2 linked regions of the Canis lupus familiaris genome follow. The protein of the gene in region 2 binds, or shares a complex with, the protein of the main gene of each other region. Links are inferred from orthologs where the notes say so. Each region holds a gene or a part of one and is shown on either strand. Other genes may lie near its edges. The genes, in order: ARPC5 and ACTR3.

Region 1 (14,954 bases), on a different chromosome or scaffold from region 2:
TCTTCAAGATTTACAGCATGTTCTTGCTGAAAACATGTGCTCAAATGTAAATTTAGGACATTCACTTTGCTCTTTTATTTTTTAAAAGATTTTATTTATTTATTCGTGAGAGAGAGAGAGAGAGAGAGAGAGGGAGGGAGAGAGAGAGGCAGAGACATAGGCAGAGGGAGAAGCAGGCTCCACGCAGGAAGCCTAATGTGGGACTCAATCCTGGGACTCCAGGATCATGCCCTGGGCCGAAGGCAGGCACTAAACCGCTGAGCCACCCAGGCATACCCACTTTGCTCTTTTAACACTGTCAGGGAAAAAGTTCAAACTGGTATCAACTACCCTAAGTCCCATTTAGATCAGCCAGCTTGTTAGATTCTTTTTATTCCTCCAAGCTAAAAGTGTATCATTTAATAGCTAAGAACTTAGGAACTTTAATTTTGACACTACCTTGAAAGACTGGAAGTCATGATCAAGTGTCAGGAGCTGAAAGCTCTAGCTTACTTACTGAATACTTTTGTGTACCGAGTACTGTGCTAGATGCTAGGGATATAGCACCTTCTGGTCTACTAGGAAGGGACAGAACATAAAAGAGAGATTATGTTAATATAACATAATGTACGAAATGACAGAGGTGTGCCCTGGGGTAAGGAGGTACTCAGGCAGGGAGGAAATCCTGAGCAAAGGTACAGAGGTGTGAAACAGTAAGGTGTGTCCTGGGAAAACATACTATTATGCTGCTCACTGCTGGAGCAAGGGGGATGAACGGCATAAAAGAGGAGTGGCTAGACTTTGGAACTTGAGCTTTACTCTGCAGGTGACTGAAAGGGTAGATCTGGATTTCAGAGAGGGCATTTGGCGACCGGGTGGAGAACAGATTCGAGAGAAGCAGAGCTGGTGGCTGGAGGCCTGTGTAGGAAGTTACAGCAAAAATCTGGGGGAGATGCTGCAAAGAGCTGCATCAGAGGGGTATCTAAGCGTGTGGCTGGAGAAGTATTTAGCAGACAGACAGGCAAAAATTGGTGATGATGTTAGGAAGCAATGAAGACTTGATGTGTGCCTCAGTTTCCCCATCCACCAAAAAAGGAATGATAGCAAGCTTTCCCTCCTACTATTTTTATGAAGATTAAAGGAGTTATTTATGAAGTGATTAGGAGAATGCTTGGAATACAGTAAGTGCTCCATCAGTGTCTGCTATGATCCTGGGACTGTACAGGAACCAGGATGCTTAGGTTGTTAAGCTGGCTCTTCATCTCTAAATTGAGGGTGATAAAGATGCTTATATGCCTCCTAAAGTTGTTCTAAGGCTTAAATGAAACATCATCTAATGGTACAGTGTCTGGCAAACGCAAAGTATTCCTGAATAGGATGACCATATACATTATTCTCCAACTGGTACACTGAGTGAAAGTGAACTATTCATAATCATGTTGGGACAACAGGCATAAACTGGAGCCATCTTGGGAAAATAGGGAGGTCTGGTTACCCTGTCCCTAAAAGTTAGGCTCTCTTTGACAGTGCATGAGTGATCAAGTGACTTGATTAAGACAAGTTCTACAGCCTATTCTCATCTTCCATTTGTGTTTTCACTCAGATACACGGACAACAGCTTCTAAAGACTGAGAGTTGGGAACTGAGAGATATTAGAATATACCCCTTCCCTGTGGTTGGTTCTATTTAAATGTTACACTGTTCACATCTGTACCCATATTACCCAAGAGTTGGGTATTAAAAATGACCTTACCAACTTTTTACCTAACGCTAAAAATTTCCCTTAGCTATTTTTTGAGGGACAGTGTACCACCATCTGCTCACACTGCAGAATCAAATGCATGAAAACAGAAAAACATTGAAGAACTCTTGATCTTACCCCACCTCTGATTTCTTTTCTTTAAATCCTGTAACATACAGAGCATGAAATTTGCTCCTTTAACCATCTTTCAGGGTAAAATTCAGTGGCACTCATTATATTCTCAGGATTATAGTCACCACTGTTTCCAATAATTTTCATCACCCTAAAAAGAAACACTGTCCCCATTAAGTAAGAACTCTCTATCCTCCCTTCCCCCAGTCCCTGATAACCTCTCATCTTCTCTCTCTCTCTCTCTGAATTTGCCTCTTCGAGGTATTTCCTGTAAGTGGAATCACACCGTAATTTGTCTTTCTGCAACAGGCTTACTTCACCTTGCACAACGTTTTCAAGGTTCATTCGTGCTGTGCCATGTATGTAATTTCCTTCTTTCTGTTGTTCAAAAAAACAAAATGTAGTGTATGCATAAAATGGAGTATCTGGGGGATCCCTGGGTGGCTCAGCAGTTAAGTGCCTGCCTTCTGCCCAGGGCGTGATCCCGGAGTCCTGGGATCGAGTCCCATGTCCGGCTCCCTGCATGGAGCCTGCTTCTCCCTCTGCCTGTGTCTCTCTGTGTCTCTCACGAATAAATAAATAAATCTTAAAAAAAAAAAGGATTATCTATTCATCCGTCCTTGGGCACATGTGTGTTTCTAACCTTCTGGCCATGGTCAACGAATTTTTTACTTTTATTGTTTATCTTATTTTCAAAGTTCGGATTTAGTTCCAAGTTCAAGATCATGTTGAATGAACAGTAATCGTTACTGAATAAATATGTGTTGCAAACCAAAATCTCTTAAGACTAGGGTTAGGAAACATAAATCTAAGCTTTCGTTTTCATGCATTTATTTGTAAAGAAAATGATGTAGTCAAAATAATGATTTAGGTGAGAAGAGCAGTCATGGTTACTTTCTATCAATAAGTGGCCAGTTGGAGGGACTCTAGGTCGTAACTTACCTTTTCATGCCATTGCAGTAACACAGCACTGCTGTTGTCAGAGGGGCTCTCGAAGCCTTTATAAATATATTTCATGAGGAGATCCACACCATTTTTGTCCAGGGACTGAACTGCCTTCTCGATATCATTAGCTTTAAAAGAGATGAGCACCTTCAAGACAATACTGCCCGCTCGATCCTGGGGACACAGAGAACAGAGCATTCACACGTAAGCACGTAGAGTGGTTGTTCTGGAAAAGGTGACACTTAAGACCTGATGGACATGGTGCAGCCCAGGTGGCTCAGCCATCAGCCCAGGGTGTGATCCTGGGGATCCGGGTTCGAGTCCCACATCAGGCTCCTGTGTGGAGCCTGCTTCTCCCTCTGCCTGTGTATCTGCCTCTCCCTTTCTCTGTGTCTCTCATGAATCAATAAATAAAATCCTTAAAAAAAAAAAAAAAAAGACCTGATGGACATGAAAGAAGAATCCTTAGGGGTATTTGAGAAAAGTATTCAGAGGAAAGAAGGAAAGAACATGTGCTGTCACTGTATGTTCAGGGTGTTCAAGGAAAGCAGAAAGATCCCTGGTAGCCAGCGACATGGTGGAGGAGTAGGACAGGTCAGGAGGTAGCCGAAGACAGACCACGTAAGCCCTCGCAGGCCGCTGTGAAGACTGTGGCTTTCATTAAGAGAAAGGAGAAGATGTTGGAAGATATTGAGAACAGTGATAGAATCTGACCTGTGTATGAGATAACAGTGATATAATCTGACTCTGGCTGCCATGTTGAGGATGAGCTGATGGGAAGTTGGTGAGGGGCAGGGGACAAGGCTGGGAGACCAGTCTGGAAGTTACTGCAATAACATAGGCTGGTTTGGGCTAGCATGGTAGCTCAGGAGAACGACAGATTCTTGACATGTTTGAAGGAGAGCTGAAAGCATCTGCTTACAAAGAGATATGGTAATTTTCCAACTTTATTAAGTCGGCATTTAAATTTTACTTCTTGACCTCAGAGAAAACCCCAAAGACAAAGACAATGAATTGCAGTTCTACCTTGAACCATCCTTCAATAATAGTTAATAAAAATAACTTTTTAAGAAAATTTAAGTTTCCTGTCTACAGTAGGTAGATATAGTGATATTCATTTATAATTTTTTTTTCTGATAAAAGGCTGCTCCAAGAGCAAAGTTATTTTTCCACTCAAGAAGCCAAGCACTTAATTAAGAACACTTAATTTACCCTTTCAACAATTTCACTTCTCCTATTCAAGAAAGAGTGATTATCTTTGGCATTCCTACTGATCAGGAGTTTACAGAATGTTTCTACCACCTATTGCTGTCTTCAGTTTAAAGACTAAGCAATTACCCAATTTAGAAAAATATTCTTACAACCACAGCTATAACTTCCCACCCACAAACTGTGATAAAAACTCACCCATATAAAAGCAGAAGGTGGTAAAATTGAAATCTCAATGACGTCCCTCACCACTTTCAAAAACCAAAGAAATGTTTCCTCTCATTGTTGCCTAGATAATTATTATGCATTTACCTAAGTTATTACTAGTACTCAAATTAAAGAGATCCTTAGGGCTCCTACAGACAATGGGGTCAGAGCTCTGGGCTTCATTTTATACAATTAGTAAGTAAGTTCTCAAGTATTTCCGGAAAGACTGTTGCAGGGAACGTTAAGTCATGTTTTTCTGAAGGGCAATTTGGCAATGCCACTTGTAACAAAAGCCTTAAAAAATGGCATTCTAAAACCCGGCAATTCGCTTCTAGGAATTTATTCAAAGGAAATAATTAACAGTTTACTCAAAATTGTTCATTTCCGTACTGTTTACAACAACAAAAGGTCAATAATCTAAATACATGACAAAAGATTAGTTATATGTAAACTGCAGCATATCTATATGCAGCCATTAAAAAAGGTGCTTATAGAAATAAACTTACTGCCAAGGAAAGATGTCCATGTATATCATTAAAAAAGCCAATTACAAAACTCCCTTTTTATTTAAAAAACAACTACTAAGAGACAAGCTCTGTAAGCATATAACACCAGAAAGTAAAGACCGATGATCTCTGGGCAGTGGGATGATGACGATTACCCCTTTTTGCCTCTCTCTGAGTTTTCTATAAACATTTAATACTTGGATAATTTAGAAAAATTTTTAAAAAGCAACCAAATAGAATCTATTTATTTTGTAAAAGTATTGTTTATTCTTCAGGCCTATGCTCCAATTCCTCGAGTGCCTCCATTAAACACACTGAAATGGTCTCTCATAACTCAGTATTAGAGTGAGATTATTTTCATATGTAAATTTTTACCTAACAAACTACACAGAGTAAGCTCCTGTATGTCAAAGACAATAAACAGTTAAACTATTTGTTGATTCCATGATACTTCAGAGGATTTTGGAAAGAATGCTAAGACACCAGCGTCTGACTCACCTTCACGGCCTGACTCTTGGTGTTGATAGGGGGATTTTTCAGAGCTGCCTGTAGGGCGGCTGTCATGTTTCCTGTGATGGAGGTTAAGGGGATAGCAGCAAAGGGGAGCCTTCAGAAAAACATCGGAACTACCAGGTATCATTGGTTCTTAAGACTTGACTTTATACGTAGAAAGAAAAATTACCACGATCGCTATGTTCAATATTGGAAAACTCAGTATGTTGGTTTCAAGGATGTCAATCACATGTAAAACACAGAGAACATAAGAGGAGGTAATAAGGCAAAGACCAGTTCCGGCCTGGCTCTAATTACTAAATGAACACTTCGAGAGCCTTTTATTTTCCAGTAAGACACATATGAAACATTATTCAGAGTGATACGTATATTTTAAATTACATATCTACGTATTAGAATTATTAGGTCCCCAAATGAAACAGCATACCCTCAACCAAAATGTCTTTTTATGTGATTCTTAACTGGAAAAATATGGACCAAACTTTTGCTAGAATTATATTCTATCTTAATTGAAATACTTGTAGAAAATGCTGGTAATTATTCCAGCACTCTACATGATACACATTAGTAACCTCTCAATATTAACAAAAGATCTAATAATTCAATGTCCTTTAGGCTGTAGCTTAATTTTTCTGTTTTGCATATTTTCTCTTATACTTCCAAAAAGGTCATTGACACTGTTTTAGGTCATACCTATTAAATTTAGTCTTTGAAAGCACCAGTGAGTTAGCAAGTATGAGACACGGAAGGCCAATCAGACTGTCAGAATATACAGTCATTCCCCTAAAAGGAAAACCACAGAGTTCATTTGTTCCTCCATCTGTAGTGCCTGACTAGAGCTGGTCTCTTCTGGTTGCAACAAGAGAAGAGACAATATCTTTTAAGATAAAGAGATTAGAAAGCAGATCCATTTTATGGATCCAGCCGTACCAGTTGAGAGTCAGCACCCATCAACCTAAAGTTAGTTCACAAAACGTCATTTATCCATTACAAAGAATGTTTTCAGACAGAATAATGTTCATTGCTTATGTTTGGAAAAAAAAGAACAAAACAAAACCAAAACACCCCAAAACAAAAACCCCCTATGGCTGGTGGTAAGCTGTTATTTCCAAGGCTTAACAAACTTCTAGAAAAGCTTCCTTTGGCAGACTGGCTCATTTTTAAGACCTTAAAGCACTTACGTATTTAAATAATGCAACAGAGCAACAGCTGACTGTGAGAGTTGTGGAAATCAAAGAAACATCTGTATGTTGGTAAATGTTTAATGCTGTATTTTAGGTGCCTTTAAGACTAGATATAGTCACAACCAATATTTTCACTCCTATTTCCCCATTATACTTTAATAGAACATTGATGAGGAGAGGTTTAAAAAGTCTTCCCTATCTTATGAATACATTCAAGAATAATTAGAAGTGAGTGAATTCAGTAATTGAGAATCTCTAGAACTACAGCTTTAGCTGTTGCAACATTTACATTTTTCTAAAAGAGATGTGGTGCCAAATACTCGCTCAACACTGATGAATATTCAAATATGCAAAAAAAAAAAAAAAAAAAAAACAACACCAAAAACCCCAGGAACTGACAGCCGCATTTTAACTGAAATGGAAATGGATTTCAGGATTGCAAAAAATAAAAAATAAAAAAAATAAAAAATGATGCTGCTTTGCGCAAAATGACTCATCGTCTATTTTGCTCATCATCTACTTTATTCACTGGGGCTTATCTTAAATATTTCCAGGGATTCTCCACCTGCCATCCCTGTGCATTGTCCCCTTGCTTCGCAGGTAGAAGCCTCCAAGCTTCCTTGTCGGGAGCTGGCCGTTTCGTACTCACTCCGTTTCCCCGGGGCTAACACATTCGTATCTGCAACAAATTCCTTTCTCTGTAAATAACTATAATTATTAAAAGGGCCCAGGGGCTAAAAAGGCCAGGGGGCCTCGACCGTGCACACCGCCCCATGCCTCCCCGCGAGGAATGAACTCTCCTAACGCGGCCGAAGAGCGAACCGCCAGCACCACGACGCAGGCAGCCCGCTCCCCGCAATCGCACACCTCCGGAGGGGCGGGGGGACCTCCGTGACCTCGGGCCCGGGCCCCTGCCCCTCCCCCCGGGGCCGGCGGACAGCAGCCGAGGCCTCCCCTCCGAGCCCCGAGGGCGCGGCCGCCCCGCCGCTTCCCGGGGCAGCGACTCGGGCCGCCACCTGAGGAGTCGGGGCGGGGGCGGGCTCCGGGGTGACCCGGGGTGACCCGGGGTGACTCGGCTAGACGCGGGAGCGCCCCCGGCCGCCCGTCCGGCGGACCCCGCAGGGCCAGAGCCGCCGCCCCTGCCCCGGGAGCGGCCCGGCGGGCGGGGTCCCCGGGCGGGGTCGCGGGGTCCCGGGGCGGGGCGGGGCGGGAGCGCGGGGAGGCCGGCAAACGCCAAGGATATTGCCGCAGGCAGGAGTCCACCTCGCCTTCGTCGGGCCCGGCCTGCCCGTCGCCCCCGTCCTCCTCGTCCACGAACTTGTTCTCGTCGTACTCATCCACGTCCACCTTCCGGAACCGGGCCGACGACACCGTGTTCTTCGACATCGCGAGCCGGACCGGCGGCCTAAGCCTCCTCTCGGTGCTGCCTCGCCCTCGGGAAGCGCAGCCCACCAGGAACCCGCAGCCCGGGCGCCTTCACTTCCCTCTTCCGCTCTGGGGCGTCGCCGGCAGCCGCGGCTCGGACGCTTCTGGGCCTGCGCGCTGGCGGCGCTCCTTCCTCCTCGGCGACATGCTCTCCGCCCGCCGCCCACGCCGCCCCCGCTCCTCCCGGGCGCGCGCGCGAGGGACGGCGCGCCGGGCGCAGTGCGCAGGCGCGGGCTCGCGGCAGGAAGGGGGCGGGGCGGGGCGAGGGAGGCGGGGGCGGGCGGGGGCGGGGCCGGGGGCGGGCCGAAAGCGGCGCCGCGGGCAGAGGTGAGAGGCGATTGGCCGTCCGCGGGCGTCACGTGATCCCCAGGGGGTTTCCATAGCAACGCTTCTCTGCGGTCCCGCGGAAGGGGGGCGGCGGGGGTCTTAGGCTGGCGGCTATGGGCTCTGGGGGCGGGTGGCTCCTGCTGCCGCCGCCGCCGCCGCCGCCGCCGCCAGCGACCTGTCGCCGGGGTCCTGCGTGAGGTCCGGCTGGCCCGGACTTGCCTGTGGGGTGGGATGGACTGGTGGCCGGACCGAGTCCCCTGCAGTTGGCAGGAGTATGGGGCGGAGTGATGCGCGCCCGGGCGCCCAGCGTCGGTCTAGTTGTCAGAGGCATCACTTGGGACCGTGCGCTGCCCGTGGCTGCGTTCCTGAGCCGGGAGCCCCTTTCCCGGGGCTGGAGCTACGCCGCGCGGCCAGCGGGAAGTCCCCAAGGACGGAGTCGAAAGGTCGTCTCTTATCTGGCTGTGCTGTGTGACAGCATCCCGACGGCACCTGCAGAGCCTGAACTAGGTATCATCTCCTTGGGGAGGGAGACGGAGGTTCTGGGCAAGGGCTCGCGTGGCAGACCTGGGGCGGACCTGTGGAATTTGGGGTAGGGTCAGTCACCGGCATCTTAAAAATAAGTGGTGGTTTGGAGCAAGCACGGAAGAAAAGGATAGGGGCGAGCTATGCCCTCCGGTGCTGTGGGGAAACAAAACGTGTGAGGATTAGTAGGTTTGAGATGAAGATTTATATTTGTGATTTGAGATTTATATGATCCTGCTAGGCCAGCTTTTTATTACATTGGACATCCTCGTTTCTGAGAGCAAAGCCCTTACTGAGGAGGCAAAGGCACTAACACTAAAGAAATGGTAGTTGTGCTGTGTGTGTAACACCGAAGCACAAATATTTGCAGAATAAAATTATTTTGGACATTTAGCTGGACGCTGCTCAGATAGCTTTATGTTTTCCTGACATCCTCTCAGGTCTCGTTCAATTCCACCTCTAGCAGAAAGCCAGCTGTTGCCCTGTTGATACCCCAATCCTTGGTTTCCTGTGCTGTATTGAAACGAGCCCTGGACTTAGAATCAAAAACCCTGGCTGAAGTATTGACTTCCACTCATAATCTATTTGATTGAGGCATGCCACTTAAAATCCTCAATTTCAGGTTCCTCGTTGCTAAAGTGGAGCTAATAATAACGTACTTCGCGAGATTGTTCTGAGGACTAAGTACGGGAAAGTGTTCTGAAGCTCTAAAATTCTACATAGATGCAAAATGCATGTTACTTGTACCATTGATTTTGGCGTTAGTCTTACGAATTACTTAATGACATATCATGTTTTATCTTGCTCCTGGAAGAGATCAAAAGATTCTGGAGGGCAAAGACTTGCCTTTTATTTATTTTGTATCTTGCTTTACATCTGATGTAATGCTAAGCATGCAGGCAGTGCTCAATACATTCTGGTACTCAATTATTCATTGATGAATGAATAAAATGTGAAAGGCAGTACAGTTTGAAAGTCACACTGAACATAATGAATCAGTAAGAAAAGGAAGAGAGATCTCAAAATCAAACATTTGTGGGACAGATATGCATACATATGTATATATGTATAGCTGTATCTACACTGACATATATACATAGTTGTATATGTATGTATGTGGATATATATACATGTATAAATATATGGAGAGAGACTGAAAGAGTTCACAGGAATGGAATGCACCCTTTCTTCTTGGAAGGAAGAAGCAATATGGCATTTTTCTCCTCCCAATTAAACCACCCTTCTGGAAAATTTATCATTTAGGTGATAGAAGTGACATTTCTTTAAATTAACATTCAAGTTATCTGCAAACACATGATAAAAACTCTCCCCCATACTGTTTTAACAGAGCAAAGGAAAATTTTCTACCTGTTGGTAATATTTATTTTAAAAAGTCATATACCAAAGTATCAGACCATTACTATGGTAAGTGGCATTATATAACTTAGAATATAAGATTTGTTTTAATATTTCTTCCTCAGTCTCAATCTTTTGCTAACTTTAGTAAGAGCCAAACAGTGTACTTGTTTTGATGTTGAAGACGATTGCACTTTTCCCTTCTTATAAATCAAGATTTTCTTTGAAGGGAAAATTGAACATTAGAGAAGTGCTACTGAGAACAAACAGAAACAAGAATTTAAGACTAATGTATCCCTTCTCTTACATTTCTCTTCTTTTGTATTAGGTTTTATTTAGACGGTGTCTTTATTGTCTTATTTTAGAACTGGGAAAGAATCCTGGGGTAGAAATCAACTTAAGGGAATAGTGAGAGGAATTTAAAAAATCGAGTTGCTCAAGGGTATAATTGATTTGATTACTCAGAATTTTGCTGTATATGTTGAATATGTTAAATATAATTAATCAATTCTCAGTTGCATAATACATTTAAGATGTAATAATGTCGAAAAGGTCCTTTTCCAATGCGGTATTTTTTATCATCTCACGATGCTAAGTACCTAGTACATAGTAGGTATGAAACACATTTCTACCCAATGAATAATCTGACAATTTTGCAATCATATTTAGAGATTGGGTATTTCTTAATGGACACTTTAATTTCCTCCCTACCCCAATCAGCTAACAGTTAAATCTATAAAGCTTTAGGGAATGTGTGTGTGTATGTGTGTGTGTGAAGAAATCTGTCTTTAATTATCTTTTACTTATTTTGCAAATGACAATTTTTAATGTTAATCATAGTACTTAATTCATTTTAGATACTATTACTCTCCATATTTTAATTTTTCAAATGAGTGTTTATCCCTAAAATAAAGGATCCGTAACGTTTTAAGACATTTTATTTATTGTGCAAATAACTTGGTTTGGCTGAATACTAATGACTAGATCTCAATTTTCTCAAGGTTAGTGCTGCATGATAGAGTGTAGCTCCTTTTTATTATCTGTGATAATGCAAAGAGTAAAAGATCTTTTTAATTAGAAGGGATTTTGATAAAACCGTTTTATAATAGATCTTTCCTTTCAGATATTTTAAGCTGAGTACTCTACCTACCATGTGCTTCTTTTCCCCAGCCTTGCCACTAAATACTCAACGAAGACATTGAGTCCCACAGCAATGAAATGGAAGTGAGCCCAGTGTTAATCAAATGTATCAAACATGAGTTATAAATATAAAATTAATAAGTAAATTTCAGTTCTAGTCATGATGATGTAATACCACTGTCTTCTAGCAACATAATTACTACAATATAAAAAGTTTTTTTTATCATGTTACCTAGACTATAGTATGGTCTAATGCTTATAGATAATATCCAAATGAACTGATTAACTGGTTCTGTGTTGACACCAACAACCTTCCACACCTTCAGTTTTTGCTTTGTGATTTATTTTAGCTTTATATAACTTTATGAGTACACACTAAGGTAGGGTAGAAAGGGTGAACTATTTTACAATGGGACCTTTATTTACATACTAGTCCTTCTAAGATTAAAAATTTTTAAATCTGTACTCTTGTCTCAGGAAAAGTGTTTAGTGCTAAATGAAACAATAAACCTTGTTTTTATTTATTATTATTTTTTTTTAATTTTTTTTTTAATTTTATTTATGATAGTCACAGAGAGAGAGAGAGAGAGAGAGGCAGAGACACAGGCAGAGGGAGAAGCAGGCTCCATGCACCGGGAGCCCGACGTGGGATTCGATCCCGGGTCTCCAGGATCGCGCCCTGGGCCAAAGGCAGGCGCCAAACCGCTGCGCCACCCAGGGATCCCTAAACCTTGTTTTTAAATATTGTTTTGAATGAGACTCTTATTTATTTTTTTTTACCTGCTTATGATAGTGTTAAGAGAAGCTATGGATTCAAACATTTGTTTATTCTCTTTCTTTCCCATTACTGGGATCTCTTATTATGCTAACAGTTGGTTTAAGGTTATATTTTTTGTCATAGTATACAATCATAATGTTTAAGATAATGATAACTTACATTTTCTTTTCTAAAATTTATATCACTTTTATTTTTTTATCTTATTGCATTAATTGGACTTTCAAATCAGTGTTGAAAAACTGGGTGATAATAAGCATCTCTTGTTTCTATTTTAATGGAAATAGTGTTGGTATTTTACCAGTTTATATTTCCTATTGTTTTAGGATATTTAGGAATGACTGCTGAAATTGTCAAATGTTTTTTTGAGGGGTCTAATGATAAAAAATGTGTTATTTTTTATCTTTTAATTTGTAAATGTATGAATTATATATATATATATAGCACTGAACTATTCTCATATTTCTAAAATAGATTCTGGTTACTATTTTAATTACTTGATAGATTCAATTAGTTTCTGTTTTGTTTACATGATTTCAGAATCAATATGTATAAGTGAGATTGGCGCATAGTATATATTTGTGCCATCTCTATTCAATTTTGATATTAGTATAGCTTTGTAAGATGAATTGAGAATATTTCCACCTTCTTTTCTATGCTCTGGAAAAGTTTGAATAGTAGGGAATTACTAAGCTATTTTTTCTTTGCATGTTACAAAATGTGCTTGCAGAATTATCTGGACTTGTTCATGTTTTTAGAGTTAGATCTTTGATCATCTTTATCTTCTGTGGTTTTTGACTAGTTTTCTTTCCTTTTTGACTCAATTTTATAATTTACATTTAATAATTGTGCATTCCATCTAGATTGCCAATGTATTGGCAAAAAATTGCACAAAATATTTTCTTACAATTATTTTAATATCTTTCATGACCATGGACTTATTACTTCCCTTGTTGCTTTAAGCAAAATATTAAAACCAAACTTTTTTCTCCCCCTAACCTGATTATTACAAATGCTAGTAATACATCTTTCCTTCTTCTAGAAGATAAAATTTATAGTTTTGGTAAAATTGGAAAGATCCTGCAATTCCTATTTTTTCTACTGTCTATTCTAATTCTATCAATATTTTATTAATAATTGCAACTGCCCCATGAATGGTTTTATGTTAGACCTGGTAAGCAATCTCTTTATTTACATTATTTAATCCTCAGAGTAGCTTTAGGGCTTAGGAATTAATGTGTCCATTTTATGGATGAGGAAACTAAGACTAAGAGAGATTATGTAACTCAGCCAATAATACTCCACCAGCAAGTGGCAGACTGGTATGGTAATTAGGTGTGTCACATTCCAAAGCTTTTGCTTTTAATCACCACTCTCTGCTTTCAGTACCTCTTTCTCATTATTCCCAACTGTACTGCTCACCTTGGTGCTAAAAATAACGATATAACTATCAGGGTCCAAATAAACCCACACATAGCTTTTCAATAGCTTAAAATGAACTCTAAACTGTGAACTTAAAAGATCTTGTTATTGTAATGATGGTTTTTGGTAAAGATTTTGTTTATTTATTCATGAGAGACACAGAGGCAGAGACACAGAGGCAGAGGGAGAAGCAGGCTCCCCGTGGGGAGTCCAATGTGGAACTCGATCCCAGGACCCTGTGATCATGACCTGAGCCAAAGTCAGACGCTCAACCACTGAGCCACCCAGGTGCCGCTGTAATGATTTTTTAAAAGATGTTTGTTTTCCAGATACTTGTGAGCTTTCCTCATTTTATCTTAGTATTTTGAGACTAGACATAGGGCCTGTTACCTAATATTTGGTCTATCACAAAGGATGTCACTTTTTTTTAAGTATATGTATATGTATATGAAGAGATATATGTATATGAAGTATATGAAGAGATCAGTAGGTGTTGATGGATAATCCCACTTAATTTTTTTTAAATTGTGGCAAAATACACATAGCATGCAATTTACTGTCAACCATTTTTAAGAGTACCCTTAAGTAGTATTGTACAATCATCACTACTATCCATATCCAGACCTTTTTTTATCTTGCAGAACTGAGACTCCATACCCCTTAAACAGTAACTCCCCATTCCCCACTCTCCCCAGCCCCTGATGAGCAGGGGCTTTCTATCATCTATAAATTTTTTACTTTCTGCTCTATAAATTTGACAATTCTATGTACCTCATATTAGTGAATTCATACAGTACTTGATTTTTTTTTTTTTTTGTGATGTTTATTTCACTTAGTTTGATTTCCTTTCCACAACTGTAGCAAGTGTCAGGGTATTGCTCCTTTTTAATGATGAATAGTGTTCCATTTTATGTACACTAAAATGTGGAATGTTTCCACATTCTCTTTATCCATTCATCTATTGATGAATACTTGAATAATACTTGGATTACTTATGGCCATTATGAATAATGCTGCTATGAATATGGGTATACAAAGATCTGAGACCCCACTTTTAATTCTTTTGGTTATATACTCAGAATTGCTGGATCATCTACTTTTTTAATTTTGTAAGGCACCAATTCCACTTAATTCACTAAATAGAGTAATAAAACAATATTCCGTTGCCTTGGGTCTCTGATTTGGAACATTCCTGAGAGTCAGAGACATCAAGGAAAGGTAATCTCAGGATTTATATTTGGGATGAGGTTCCTAGGTAAAACAAAGAGAATAGGGGATGGGAGGCTGCCCAAACTCTGGGATCTAGAATTACTTAAGTTCTCCAGCCCAGCCCACCCCACCCAGCTTCCCTAGCTCCCATAGTCTTCAGGATGACTATTGATAACAATAGTCTGAACAGAACTACAGAAAGGCCTCAGTACAGGCAAAAATGGGTGTTGATTTTCCCAGGCTTTGGGTCCATATTGTTACTATTTTGAGAGCCATTAAAGCATAGGGATTAAGAACAGGGATTCTGGAGCTAGAGCTCCTGGGTTTGATCTCAGCTCAGGCTTTACTACATGAGCTCTCTG
Region 2 (14,903 bases):
GCCTGCCTTGATTCCCAGACTCTGAGATCATGACCTGAGCTGAAGGCAGCTACTTAACTGACTGAACCACCCAGGAGCCCCTTTCTTCTCATTTTAGATGTTGTGAATGATGGGTTAAAAATGGTATCATTGTTTAATTTGTATTTCCCTTACTATCAGCAATGAAGAGCCTCTTTTTCTGTGCCATGTGTCCATTTTAATTGTCCTACTCCTCTGTAGGGACCTTGTGTTAATAGCCTTTCCCAATGTTTCTGTTGGATTATTTGCACTTTTTAAAAAAATTTTTTATTTGCACTTTTTAAAATTGTCTTTAACTCTTAGAATATTAACCTTTGTTATATGTAATGTAAATATTTTCTTCTAATCTATAATTTCTAGACAAACCTTTAGCCAATGAAAATCCAATTGTTTATGTAACCAAATATTTCAATTAATGGTTATGGATCTCTACTTAAGGAGTTCTCCCCCACTTTAAGATTATACAAATATTTTCCTGAATTTTATTCTAATATATTCTGTCTTTTTTTTGTTATTCAACTCATTAATTCCATTTATATTTGTTGTGCACTTATTATGAGCTGAGTCCTTTTCAAATTCTAGTGGGCATGTTTTTCCCATTGGAGAGATAGATAATAAGCAAATAAACCAATATATAAACAAGGCATTTCACTAGGAAATTAAAACATGGTAACATGGGGGAATGGGCCAGGCTCCCTTGGAATAGGTGGTCAGGAAAGGCTGTCCTGAGCAAGTGAGATTTAAATTGATTCTGAAATAACTAATGATTAGAGGGGAAGTCCAGGGAGAAGATGCAGGTAGAAATGGCCTTGGTGTGTATGAAGAAGTCCAAGAAGGCTGAAGTGGCTAACTCATGAGGGACAGGAGAAATTGGAAAGAGAGGCAGGCACCAGAATACAATGGGCTTAGCAAACCCCAGTGAGGAATATGGATTTTACTCTATATTAAAGATTTGTAGTCCATTTGGAACTTGGTTTGTGTGTAATACGGTATGTGTGTGTAGGGGGTGGCCAAGGGATTCTAACCCACATCTTCTTTCAAATTAATTTATATTTTAAATAAATTGTTCACTTTTTGCAGTAGTGAGGGAGACAGGATAGTGAAAAATCCCACAGAATCTCACCTCATTTCAAACACTGTACAGATATTATTACCATATGAAATATATTTTCATTTGAAATTAAACATATAATAACTATAACATTTATTTTTATCCTAGGGATGTGGCCAATGAGTAAAATCTTTCCAGAACTTCTTTTTAGAAGTTCATGGGCAGCAGCAGGTGATAAATCACTTATGAAAACCAGTATTATTATTTTATAGTCACACAAAGCTGTTCACTAAAAACCATAGCTCTAGTTGTTCAGCCATCTTATTCTTTGGACTTGGTGCTGAAAAAAATGACTTTTGACCAATTCCAAAAATCAATCTACTCACAAAAGGCCAAGATTTGCTACCAATGGAGATATTTAAAAGAACGTGCCATGGGTTCTGAAGGCAAGTCTATAGGAGATCTTCTAAAAATATTCTGCACAGTGGTAGCATTAAGCCCCAAGACTTCTGTGATAAGGAGGACACAGTTTTGGATATTTAAATCTGTATGTTTATTTAATAAGTAAAAGAGTCATTGCTTTATAATTAAACCACAGTCATCTTGATCTGTCCATAAGATCATTCTATAATTTATAATATGTTTTCTTAAAATTCAAGCTTTACAACAACCCCATAGGTTAGTTATTTCTGCAAATTTAGATTAAAATAGATTAAGGAATTCACACTCAAGTCTCTTTTTTAAAAAAAGATTTTATTTATATATTTGAGAGAGAGAGAGAGTGCGTACACGCTCAAGTGCATAAGCAAGAGGGGCAGAGTGAGAGGGAGAGAGAATCTCAAGCAGTGTTGAGCGCTGAGCCTGATGTGGGGCTTAAACTCATGACCCTGAGATCATGACCTGAGCCAAAACCAAGAGTCAGATGTTTAACCAACTGAACTACCCAGGTGTTCCCCGCCCCCCCTCAAGTCTCTTGATTCTACGTTCAGGTCTCACTCTACACACTAAGTTAGTTGACTAAGTTAACTAACTTAGTTAACTTGCTGCCTGGAGTAGGGCCTCTGACCACTGGGCTGCATGGATATCTTGACTATTTATCTATTATTTGTCCTTAATACTCTCTGTGGATTTGATTTGATTGGTCCGCTAATTTGCAAATAGTTATTGCAGCAAGTACTTATGTTGATTTAAAAATAATAATAACATTTGCCATTTTAAAATATTGGAGATTGAGTGATATGTGAATTTTTTGGACATTTAAGGTCTAGAGACATTTGCTACATTGGCCTTAAAGCACAAATATTCTAGGAAACCTCATAGTAGCTGGTAGCTAGTATATCAGTCAAAATTAAACAACGCTGTGGTGTTACAACTAATGAGCCCAGAAAAGAGCTGGGCTTTGGTCTGGGTCCTGTTTCCTATTTTCTCTAAGATACTAGGAAAGTCACTTACATTCTCTGGGCTTGTTTATTACTTAGTATTCTTAAATTTGATGTAAGTAATGAAAGCTAATTACCACCAATTTAACCAAAAAGGGGCTTTCATGGAAGGATATTACAAGACTCACAAATGCTTGAAATGTTGGGGACCAGGCTTAGAAAGTGACTCGCACCGGTTGATCTGAACTAAAAGGAAATCAGGGTGCTATTAGGTGAGAATGGGTATGGGGAAAACTCCACCCACGCACCACTGCTTTCCTTTTTCATGTCTAACAAGATCATTTCTGTGAGCTCTTTGAGCTCTGACCTCCTCTGCTTCTCTGTATTTGGAGGAGGAAGGGTGCCTATGCAAAGTGGTCAGACATGCTCTGGCTGGACTTGCATCTGAGGGCTGGGTGCCGCTGAGGAAGGCTGAACCGCAGCAGCGCTAGAGTTTGACCAATTTTGGCACTAGCAAGTAGGAAGTAGGAGGGGTGTTAAGCAAGCAAAGTGTTTGGGTGGACAAATTATGAGGCACCAGTGCAAATAATGCTTCCAACGAGAGTTAGAAGCTTCCAAAGATTTCTAAGGGTCACCTCCTTTATAAAAGGCTGACTTGACTACTTGAAAGAGACCACTGTAGAAGGTCTCCTCATGTGGATGAGATACAGTATCTAGCGCTGACATGAGCTGCATATTTGAATGCAACATACATATAAATGTTAACCAGCTTCCCAAATCAAAAGTTGAAAACTGGTTTCCCACAGGTCAGAAAGAGCCTGCAGAGAATTAGTTACCAACAGATAAAAATCCAGATTTTCCATTTTTTCTGGAACAAAGGGACGCTCTGGCAATACTGAGTCTACATCTCTGCATAGTAAGTTTTCTACTGCCTTTGGTGTGGATGTGGAGTCTCCCTATTGTCACACCTCGTCATGGTCCTCTTCAGTCATAATGGCACCTGCTTGGATCGTGTGAATGCTCCAGTTTTCGAGCCTTGATGTAACTGTTTCTGTGACAACCCACACAAGGCCTGTGTGTGAGCACCCATCTTGAGGATCCACCAGTGTGGGTTTCCCTGAGCGACCTCTGTTCTTGGGACCCCTTTGGTAAGAACCTTTCACTCCTGACTTACTACCGTTAATGCTGAAAAAAACTGTTTACCCCAACTGACCCACATGTCTCTGTTCTGTCACAGCAGATCTTCAGGCATCTATTCTCCCAAATGACCTTAAATATCTGATGTTGGAAAAGGCAGCAAAGAATCCCCATTTAGGATCTTCTAAAATGGGGGGAAGAAAAGACAACTATGCATCTGAACAGAGAACCATTTCTGCTGGACTCCTTGGAAGACAATTGCTGAGAAAAGCTTCCCTGGAGGATTATTTATCTATTTTCTAGGAGTAGCTGTGGATTGCTGGGCACTAGTTGGTCATGATGATTCCCCTACGTTGGTCTTCTGCACATGTCTGATCCCATCTGGGTGTTACTGCTCACATAATTCTATCCCTGAATTATAGCACACAATGTATTATCAGACCTTTCACTTCACTCTTTACTTTGTGGGGTCCATTCCCTACAAAGCAGCCACGTTTCCTTGCTTAAATCTCTTTGATGCCTTCCAGGCTGCTTTTAGGCTAAACTTTAAGATTGGTGGAGAAGTCTGCAAATCCTTGTGGTGTGATTCTTCCTTAACTCCCGGCCTCCACCTCCCATTGCATTTTCCTTAGCTCACTTCACTTGGACCGTTTAGGTCTTTGAATTTGTGAAAGAGGCCAAGCTCTTTGCCACCTCAGGCCCTTGACCCTTGCTGTTCCCCCTTCTGGACGGCTCCCCTTCCTCCTCACCCTTTCCCCTATCTTCTACTTCACCTTTAAAATGTCACTTTGTCGAGAAGCCTTCCCTATATTCTACTTCCCTCACATTCTCCCACCCTCATCTCTGTATCTTGTAGCCTGTTGCTCTCTTCTAATGCTTTTAACACAATTTATATGTTCCCATTAAACTGTGAACTCTTGAGAGCAGGGACCTTCTGTATTTTGTGCCCAAAGACTATTCAGAGGCAGCAGGATCCCTGCCATAATGGAGGATGTGAGCGATACTTAACATGTCAAACGGATGAAAAACCCACTTTCCATCCCACTGCCCAGTCTAACAACTTACCATTGTGCATAAGACATCCTTTCTTAGGGAAAATATTTTTATTTCAGCCATATAAGCAAATGGAAGATTTATCAGAAGACAAGCCTGGTGGAAAGCTGTTAAACTTCTAGGTTCCCCAGGTGGGGTCCCAGACCATCACCTGAGAACGTCTTGGAAATGCAAGTTACCAGGCCCTTCTCCTACACAAAAACTCTGCGGATGCGGCCCAGCAATCAAGGTTTTTTTTTGTGTGTTTTGTTTTTAGCAATCAAGGTTTTAACGAGCATTCTCGGTAATTCTGATGCACACTTAAATTTGAAAACCATTGTTCTAGGCTGTCCAGTATGTGACCTTTTTCCCCCTTATTATTATCATTATTTTCGCTCCTTGATCATCGGCATAATCCTGCCGGCAAAACAGCAGAATCTTAAACTGCTGAGGGCATCTTTGTCATCATTCGAAAGCGGCGAATAACCGACTATCCGCGCAGAGTGCGTGATGTGGAAGGTGCTCCCGGGGGGGGTGTGTTCCTCGCGGGGACAGGCCTGCCCCCGGGCGTCTGCGACCCAGACAATGTCCCCACGCACAGGTGCAAAAGCCTAGAAACCGGCAGGAAGGCGGAGCAGCCGGCTGCAAGCCTTTGTTCGCCCCAACCCTCCCGACCGCTCGCCCTCCGTCTGCCCGCGCGCTCCTCCACCCAGAAAAGCAGCGTCTCCAAGCGACGAGAATGTGTCGTGCCGCTCAGGACGTTTTCTACTGGGCCAGTCTTCCCCGGGGCCCCGGAGAAGACGCGGGGGGCTGCGGGGGGCTGCGGGGGCAGGCGCCGGGCGGCGAGCGCAGGAGGCACGGACGCCGCGGCGCTCCCGCAGCTCCAGGAGCCCCGGGCGCTCGCCCCGCCCCGCCCCGCCCCTCCCGTCCGGGAAAGCCCGGAGCGGACTCCGCTCACGTCGGGACGGGCGCCGCGGCCGGCGGGGCCACGTCACTGCGCATGCTCCCTCGCCCCTCCCGCTCGGAGCCGGAAGGGGGAGCGCGGGCGGCCTGGGCCTGGCCTGGCCGGGGCGGCGGCGCCGGCGGCCATCTTGGCTTCCCGGGGCCAGGCGGCGCGGGGGGAAGAAGTTGTAGGGTGGGGGCCGGAGGGAGGAGGAGGGGAGAGAGAGGGGGAGGAGGCCGCGGCGGGGCAGGGCGGGGACTGCCTGCCCGCCCGGGTTGCGGAAGTGGTAGCCGCTGGCCGAGCCTGCTGCTTGCTCGCTGCTGCCTCGGCTTCCCGGCTCCCCCCGGACGGAGAGGCCGGCCCGGCTGTGGATGGTCAGATAGCTCCGGCCCCAATCCGCACGGAGCAGACGGCGGCGGCGGCGGCGGCGGCGGCAGGCGAGGAGGAAGATGGCGGGACGGCTGCCGGCCTGTGTGGTGGACTGTGGCACGGGGTAAGGAGGGTGGGGAAACTGAGGCGGAGCTGGGAAGATGGCGGCGAGGGTGCGGGCGCGGGGATGCGCCGCGGCGGGGTGCGGCCGCCGGGCGTCGGGCTGCCGGGGGTGGGGCGCGGGGCCGGGGCCGCGGTGCGGCCGGGCGTCACCCGCGGGGGCGGGGGCGGGGGCGGGGGTCCCGGCGGGGTCCCCCCGGAGGTGCCCCCGGAGCCGCGGGCGGGTGGGCGCTGCGGGGCCCGGCGCTCAGCCTCCGGCCCCTCGGCTCCTCCTGCTGCCGGCGCGCCGGGGCCGAGCGGACGGGCGGGGGACGCCGGGCGGGTGCTCCGGGTCGCGGGGACCCCGCGCGGCTCGGGCCGAGGGCGGGGAAGGGGGCGCCCGGGCGCCGAACCTGCGAGCCGGGGCCGCGGCTTCCACCGGGCGGGCCGCGCGCCCCTCGTCCGACCCCCGGGCTTCCCCGCCTCCTGCGCTCGCACCGGTGAGCCACGGGCACATTTTAATTTGAGAGAGAAGGATGTCATGTGTTAACTCGTCTTGCCTCGGACAGAAAAAAAAAAAAAAAAAAAAAAGGAAAAAAAAAAAAAGTCCCCTAGTGAGCAAGCGCGCCGCAACTTCCTTAGTTTTCTCAAAGCCGCTTCCTGCTTTCAGCCCTTTATACCCTTATAAGGTAGTTTTTCATTTCCAACCTGAACACCTCGTATTAGAACTTTTAGGATTGAGCATATTTGAAATGGATTGAATTACGGGCCCTCGACATCAGTTTGTAGGGACTTGAACACAGACGTGCGAGTGTTTTCCGGGAAGGGGGGGAGAAGGGAAGCCCCAGGAAAGTCCTTGAGGCCGCGCGCTCGCCGGGGGGGGGTGGGGGGGGTGGGGGGGCCTCGGAGGCTGTGGGGCCGCGGGGTGCGCTTGCTTTTCGGGGGGTTCCAGTGCGCAGGGTCGCGTGTAGACGTGTAGAACGGCGTTGAAGTGTATGAATAGGCGTTTTGGGATTTTGGCACACTGTTGTTTTCATAGGAAATAGTCTGTACTTTAACGTGGAACGACTTGTTTCCCTTGCAGCGCTGGGAGGGTGTGTGTGTCCGTCCTGTGCTGATACATTGTTTCATTCCTAATTCGCAAAATAATACACCGAGGGGGAGTCGGTTATGAGAGGTAGAGTGTCAGCCCTTGCTCCCTGCCTTCTATCATCCAGCAGACCTTCGTTGCATCAAGGATTGTGTATGCCCCTCTTTCCATTTACTCCCCGTAAAACGGCTCTATTTTTTTTTTTAAAGCTCTAATCTTCATACTCACGACTTTGTTAGTGTAACAGTTTCAAAAATCCCAGCCATGCATGTGGAAACAGCCGATTTATTAACATTCTCCTATTCTCCTTTGGAAAATACCAGCCTACTTTTAGCCGTGGAACTTCTAAATGTATTGTTTTGATGGACAGCTTATTAAAGTTATTGTTTTTTTATTTTTATTTTTTGTATATATATATTTTTTTTATTGTTTTTTTTAATCCTAATTTTCTTGACTCAGGTCCCCCCCCCCCCCCCCCCCCCCCCCCCCCGATCCAGTTGAGGAGTAGTTTCATGCTTAGGGTCAGTTTTAAAATTAGATTTGTCCTGAGTGAGAAGGAATTTTCAAGTGTGGGGTGTTTTGTTTTGTTTTTTTAGATTTTATTTATTTATTCATAAGAGATACACAGAGAGGCAGAGACACAGGCAGAGGGAGAAGCATGCTCCATGCAGGGAGCCCGACGTGGGACTCTATCTGGGACCCCAGGATCACGCCCTGCGCTGAAGGCAGGCGCTCAACCACTGAGCCACCCAGGTGTCCCTCAAGTGTGTTTTGTTAAAGTGAGAAATACTGTTATATAATTAATATTTTATGCTTTAGAAATTATTGGGTTAATAAAATTAGTGTGGATAATTGTAGTGCTAATGGTAACTAGAATGTTACTTTTCCCCCATTTTTCCCCTTTTGAAATAAATTCTGGTTATTTTTGAGTTAGTATTCGGGTATTAATCATTGAGGTTGACTGTCCTTAGCTGACCTCCTCCTGCTAGGGCAACCCTGAATTTAAGACAGGCTGAGTGTCCGGGAGGTCCCCAAGGGCTTCAGTCTACATTTAGGATTATTTTTGTTTTAGTATTTCAATTATTACGTTACTATATTTTACCTTATTGCATTAGTTTTACTTCACAAGGTGAGGTGGTTTAATGGGCACTCATGGTTTAAATGGAACTGATTAGGAGTCCCCATTGTCTCCCACCTTTTTTACCATCTGTCAGAGCTCCATTTATTTTGGTCTTCTAAAGGTTTCATGGTCCTTTGTGGTGGCTATCTAATGCAACTCCTGGAAAGTTATACCTGCAGCTTTATTAGCACATAGAGGATGGCTCATTGAGCTTGGGCCTGCGATAAGCATATTTAAGTAAGGCCTTCATGGGAGTTTTATGTTTCAGAGTACTGTGGTCCCCAGATGCAAATTGTTCACCTATAATTTGTGTGTTCCTTTGTGCTTTAGAGAATGCATTCATCTATTTGGTCTGTAATTACAATTACCCACTTAATATAAATGAAGAGTTATAACCTGAATCTGGATGATCATTCCATTTCATTATATAAGTTAGGAAAAAGATGACAGGAAAAAGTGGCCGGCTATGAAACTTGGTGTTCTCCCACAAGAAAAGCTGTAAGCCTTAGGAAACATGAAGCTTAATCCCCAGGCTTAAAGTTAGAAATCCTGCAGCAAAGATCCTTTATCTCAACATAAGATAATCACCTAAGCTCAGATCGTATAAGAAAATAACTCCTTTTGATAAGAATTTAGAAATAACTGTTTTTTTTTTTCGCATTGATATCATATCTACACACTTTTTGTCTGCATTGGAACAGTACTGTAGAAAAAAATTTGGGTAGAGATTCTCATTGTAGAGCTAGCTGGTTGCTTAAGAACTAAATTACAGACCTCCAATCTGCTACCTTGGTGAGGGAAACTTTTTTTTTTTTTTTTTAAAGCATTCTTATAACATTGTAACACTTGGAAAGTTTTAGAAGATCCTAAATTATTTTTCGCATATTTTCACTCATTTCTTCAACGTTCAAATGAAGGAACTAACTCCTTACACACTTTTTTTTTTTTTTTTTTTAATGCCTCAGCTTGATTACAGAACTTTACATTGTGACATTTCCTTTTCCCCTTTATGTCTTTTCTACCTGATCCGTTCTGCTTTGGTAAATTATTTCCATTATGATAGCAGAAGTTAATATGACCTTATTGTAGAGCTGTGTGTTGGTGTCTAGATATACTCAGATTTAGAGTGAATTTCCGTAACTGACTCAAGTTTCTTAGCGTAATTTTAAAATGTAAGCATAAGTATTTTGTTGGAGTCAGTGGATGAGGAGTTTATATAATTCATACTGTGGCCACATTCTAGCAATTAGTGCAGATAATTTGGGAACCAATCTTCCCTGAGAACCAATGAGGAAGAACTGAGTGTGTGTGGGGGGGAAATAAGTGGGAAGTTCATATTTCCTATATGAATTCTGTACATGATATTTGATAATAACACTATTTCTCCAAGCCATCTTCAAGAGCAGAAACATTCACAGTATCTTGTTATTACCAAAAAACACTGAAATTCTTATTCCTTCATGGGTCATGTTTTACATGCTGTGTGAAGTAAGTATAACAGTCTTCTGTTGAGAAGTCAGTTTCTTACTTAAATACAATCTTCCTCCTCTCCTCTCCCACTGGTCTCTTTCCCTGCATGCACATCTTGTGTTGAAATACTGACTTTGGGTTGTGTGTGTGTGTGTGTGTGTGTGTGTGTATATAGTATCTAATGAACTTTCAGCCTAATTGTAAAACACAGTTCAGAAATTTATTTTTAAGCACAGAATGGAAAGCTCCACTAGTGGAGGGCCTGCTGACCAGGATTTTATGTATGTTACTTAGTTTTGTGACAGTCATTTTTACCTTATTTTACAAGTGAGGAAACAGGATTAGAGAAACACTTTTTTTAATGGTGATAAGAGTTGCTATTTGGACTTAAGCTTTTCTGTGTCGAAGCCCTGTGTTCTTTATAATACACTGTGGAAACTCCTGAGCCCCTTATCAGAACTATGCATGTTGCTTTTTATTAGCAAAGTTAATTCTCTTCTTAAAATATTATAAATCCTAGTCTTAAGCATTTGATTTAATGAATTAGAGAAATGATTCCTGTGCATATCTTTTTTACGTGATATGTATCTATATATATCAAGTATATATGTATGTGTCCGTGTGTGTGCGTGCGTGTGTGTGTGTGTGTATTTAGTGGATATGTGAATTCCTAGCTTATTTCCTTGTCAATTTGCTTAAATTGAACTTCTAGAAAAAATTTACTCTCTATGTTTTGTTTATCAGGAAATGCTAAAAGCTAATATTTATTAAGAATTACGTTCAGGCCCAGTGCTATATGCTTTATATTATCTCATTTACTTTTCACATCAGCCTGAGAATTACCTCTTTTATGAACAGAAAAGTTTAGGGTTTAGAGAAATTAAACTACTTGCCCAAGATATTGTAGCAAATAAATGTGTTAGAGACCCTCCTCTATAAAATAATCTCCTTACACAGAGGATGAGCCTTTGACAGTTTTGAATCATTTAGATTTTTTTTTTTGAGAGATAGTTCATTTATGTTGTAAAGGGAGAATGCAGTATTAGTGAATATTACTTAACGATTACTTGCAAAGGTAGAAAAGTAGGTATTACTTGCTGATTACTTGCCAAGTCAGCTTAAAGCTAACTATATACTTAGCAGGTTAGACGCGCTCAGAATTATAATGAAAATATGTAATACAATATGCTCTCGAGAATCTTATCTCTTAATGAGATAAGAGCTAAAAATTATTTTTAAAAATTAGGATGGTAAGATTCTGCACTTAAATCTTAAGATACTTTTTTTTTTTTTTAAGATTTTATTTGTTTATTTGACTGAGAGGGAGAGAGCACACAAGCAGGGGGATCAGGAGAGGGAGAAGGAGTTTACCTGCTGAGGGAGCCTAAGGCAGATGCCTGACTGAGCCACTCAGGCACCCCAAAATATTTACTTTTGTGGTAGTAATAGTTGTTCTGTAGATAGTAAGATTAATGTGGTCAGGAAGAGTCAAGGAAGTTGTAGTGAAGGTAGGATATGTGCTCTCCTTTTAAGGATTTGGATATACAGGGGAAGGAAAGCATATACAGCAGAAAGGGGAGAGTAGCTGTTTCTTGTGTTTAGCCCTATTAGCATATGTTGCACCACTTCCTTCCCTTTGAATTGAGGACCACATAATAACATAATGCAAATCTTGATTATGTAATGTGAAGGGGAACTAACATTTATTGTGCACTTTCTGTATCAGGTATTCATTGTGTGTCGGCAGAGCTTTGATTCAAAATATTTTACTTGATAAGAAATAAAAATCCTTTGCAAGAGGAGTTAAATGTTGTCAGGGCTTTTAGAATATTTGCAGAATGGAATGCAGTTGGATCAGATGTAGAGAAGGTATTTGGGATGAAGTTATGGGGCTTGACACATGATATGAACTCACGTCTTTGTTGAATGAGCTGGCAAATGAAGATGGAACAAGAGTTAGGGGTATGGCTTAAAAAAACTGCCTGGGAAACACCCCATACCCAGTGACTCAGAATCTGAAGGATTGGGCCTAGGAATATTCATTTAAATGGTCTTCCTAGATGATTTTTAAACAGCCGTCTCAGCATCAGCTTTGCAGAAATTCTGAAGTAGGATATTGGCAGTAGGAATAGAGCAGAAGAGATATATTTGGGAAAGGTTGCCTCTTTTTTGTTTGTACTTCTGCAGTAGTATTGTTTTATTTGTGGTTATAGCTGTTTTTGTGTTCAGGCTTTTCTAGCTGTATGACTTTGTACACTTCAAACTCTGCAGGTCACATTTTTCCCATGTGTAATTTGGGATCATAGTATCTACCTTATGGGTGGGATTTTTTTTTTTTGTTTGTTTGTTTGGTTTTTGAGATAATGCATGAAAATGGTTAGTCACAGTGGTTGACACATAGTAAGAACTTGATACATCATAGTTATAATTACCATTATCAGTTAGCTCTCTTTTATTGAATTGAAATTTTTTAAGGAAAGGAACACGGTGTCTTATGCTTATTCAGTGCTTGGCTTAATGCAGTTCTTTGCACAGTCCAAATGTTTTTGCTTATTTGAGAGATGGAGGTATAGCTAGGGCTTGACAATTGATTGGGGTGGATTGTAGTCATCAGTGAAGATTTTAAGATTTTGAGTTTGGTTTTAAGAAGCTAAGTAAAATAATTATTTGAATTTGTTATTGAATTTGGATGATGATCATAATTGGAAATATTCTAGAGGAAGTTAAAGATACAGGAACTTCAGAAATGAAGGTGGAGATGTGGCAGTCATCATTACAGTTTACAAATTGAAACTAATAAAATAAAAAGAAAAAAAAGATTGAATATTAATGTTTCTTTTACAAGTCTTAAATATATAATCTAGCTTCTTGAGCATCATAATGAGAAGAATGAGTGGGCGCGCAGGCTTGAAATGATGAATGATCAGCTGTGCTGACAGCCAGGCTTCTGTTTCATCCCACTTTTTAAGAGGTAGAATCCTTAGGAGGAGACTTCAGCTCAACATAGGGCTAAATTTCCCTCCAGTGGTCTCCCTTATACATTGTGCTCCCCCACCTTCAACAAGTGAAACAGCTGAATGGGAGTAGGAGCAGGACTGTGGATTGGTTAAAATGTACCTTCTAGCAGTTTGTTTTCTGAAACAAAATTCCCCTGTAATAAAGGCATTTGGATATTTATCTGTAATTCTGTTGGCATTTGTAGGCTCTTTAATGACATGACTCATCTATAATAGCCGCTGGCATAAAGAAGAGGCAAGAGCAAAGCAGTTCAGTAATAATAACACTACATTAATATGCTTTTTAGTTTACCAGGCACTTATAAATTCATTTATTATTAAGTAACAGTACAAGATAAGGTGATGTTATTGGATTGATGTTTTAAATTTGGTTCTCCAAAATAGGATAGTGACTAATACTACTTTGTGTGATGGTGGTTTTATATCTTTATGTAGACCTTTATATCATACAATGTATAAAAGATATCTCAATAATTGATTAATACCAGAAAAAAAGACAAATTATGTCCTTTTTCCAAAGGACCATTTCATGGAATTTTACTAATTTTTCTTTCAAGATTTTTTTCAAAACCTTTCCAAACTATTGACTTTTAAACTCGAGTCACTCTTACATACTCCTTATAATCAGGAAAGGAACAACTTTGAATTTGTGTGGGCTGGCATATTTTCCTAACTCTTTTCTACCCCTAACGTACCTCACAAGAGTATTTTCTTCATCTGTGTTCTGATGCTGAACATTACATCTTTAAATATTCTCTCCTTTAAGCCTTGCCCATTGTGAAACTGCAATTGCCTTGAGAAGGATATCTTTAAGACTTTTTCAGTTACAGTACTTAGTGTGAATGAGGGGTTGCTACAAGGACAATGAAAGTCTCAAATAGGGAATTAGGGTGCAAAATGCCTTATAGTTTAGGGTTGGTTTTGAAACTGTATAAAATCATAAACTATGTTTTTAGTATTGGTCTATGATAAAACTCAATTGTTTGCTTACTTAAAGTCATAGAGCTTAGTATATTTAAGTATGGTGTGTTTTTCTTTAAGCATTTTTAAGTTTAGTTACTTCAAGACCACCAAAATAGTGCATATATGTGTGTGTGTGTGTATATATATATATATGCTATTCATAAGTGTGTGTGTGTATATATATGTGTGTATATTTATATATCTCTCTATATATATGAAACTTAAGTGAATTAAGGGAAATGCCTAATAACTCACATAGACTTATGGAGATGAAAAACACTTTGAGAAATAACTTCACTCATGCTTCATAAATGAGACTGGTCCAGAGTTGAGAAATGTTTTTCAAGGTTCCTAGTTATCAATTGATAGCATTGTTGAATTCTCTTACATTTTCTTAAGAGTTCACATTTATGACTTACAGTAGTTGAAGTTTCTTCTTACCAGTTGAAATAACAGCATATTTTTTGTAGTTTGAGGCCTGGTGCAATACATGTTTCAGAAATCTTTAGTGTGTTTTTTTTTTTTTTTTTTTTTTTTTAGAGTTTTTGTTGTAATAAAAGTGTATGCTAGATGGCACAGATGCAAAACTAATTTTGTTTCCCATCGTAACATTTTAACACAGGTTCAGAAACTATTTCCATAAAATGAATACTTTTTATTTTATTTTCTATATGAGAGACAGGGAGAGAAGTGGAGACACAGGCAGAGGGAGAAACAGGCTCCCTGTAGGGAGCCTGATGCTGAACTTGATCTCATGATCCCTAAATCATGTCCTGAGCCAAAGGCAGATGTTCAACCACTGAGCCACTCAGATGCCCCAAAATGAATGCTTTTTTTTTTTTTTAAAGGAAATATGCTTTTTTATTGTTTCAGGCACTTAAATCTTAGAAAAATACTTTTTTTAAAAAATTTCAGTTAAAGACATTATGTGGAATGTGTACAAATCAGCCTTTCAAAGCCCTTTAAGGAGGTATGTTTTTGAGATGATTAATTATAACCCTTTCAGAAACCCTATGAAGTGTAGGTACTGTGATACAATAACTGTTTTAAAGATGGGATGAGCACTGAGTGTTACACTATATGTTGGCAGATCGAACTCCAATTAAAAAATTACAAAAAGAAAATAAAGGCGAGAAGATTGAGGTATAGAGAACTTAAGTAACTTGCTCAAGTATAGTGGCTACAGTTAAGTAGTAGAGCTAGCATCTGAGCCCT

Evidence for each region.
Region 1: ACTR3 (region 2) and ARPC5 share a complex: the UniProt entries of both Homo sapiens proteins name them as parts of the arp2/3 complex. The link is inferred for Canis lupus familiaris from reciprocal best matches to the Homo sapiens genes ACTR3 and ARPC5.

Annotation. Positions count from the first base shown.
Region 1 is NC_049228.1:16,858,664-16,873,617, forward strand, and holds the start of ARPC5 (actin-related protein 2/3 complex subunit 5), read right to left. Parts: upstream 7,980-14,954; 5' UTR 7,803-7,979; coding exon 7,660-7,802; intron 5,291-7,659; coding exon 5,218-5,290; intron 2,972-5,217; coding exon 2,795-2,971; intron 1-2,794. UniProt on the Homo sapiens protein: Component of the Arp2/3 complex, a multiprotein complex that mediates actin polymerization upon stimulation by nucleation-promoting factor (NPF).
Region 2 is NC_049240.1:36,610,251-36,625,153, reverse strand, and holds the start of ACTR3 (actin-related protein 3), read left to right. Parts: upstream 1-5,684; 5' UTR 5,685-6,009; coding exon 6,010-6,053; intron 6,054-14,903. UniProt on the Homo sapiens protein: ATP-binding component of the Arp2/3 complex, a multiprotein complex that mediates actin polymerization upon stimulation by nucleation-promoting factor (NPF).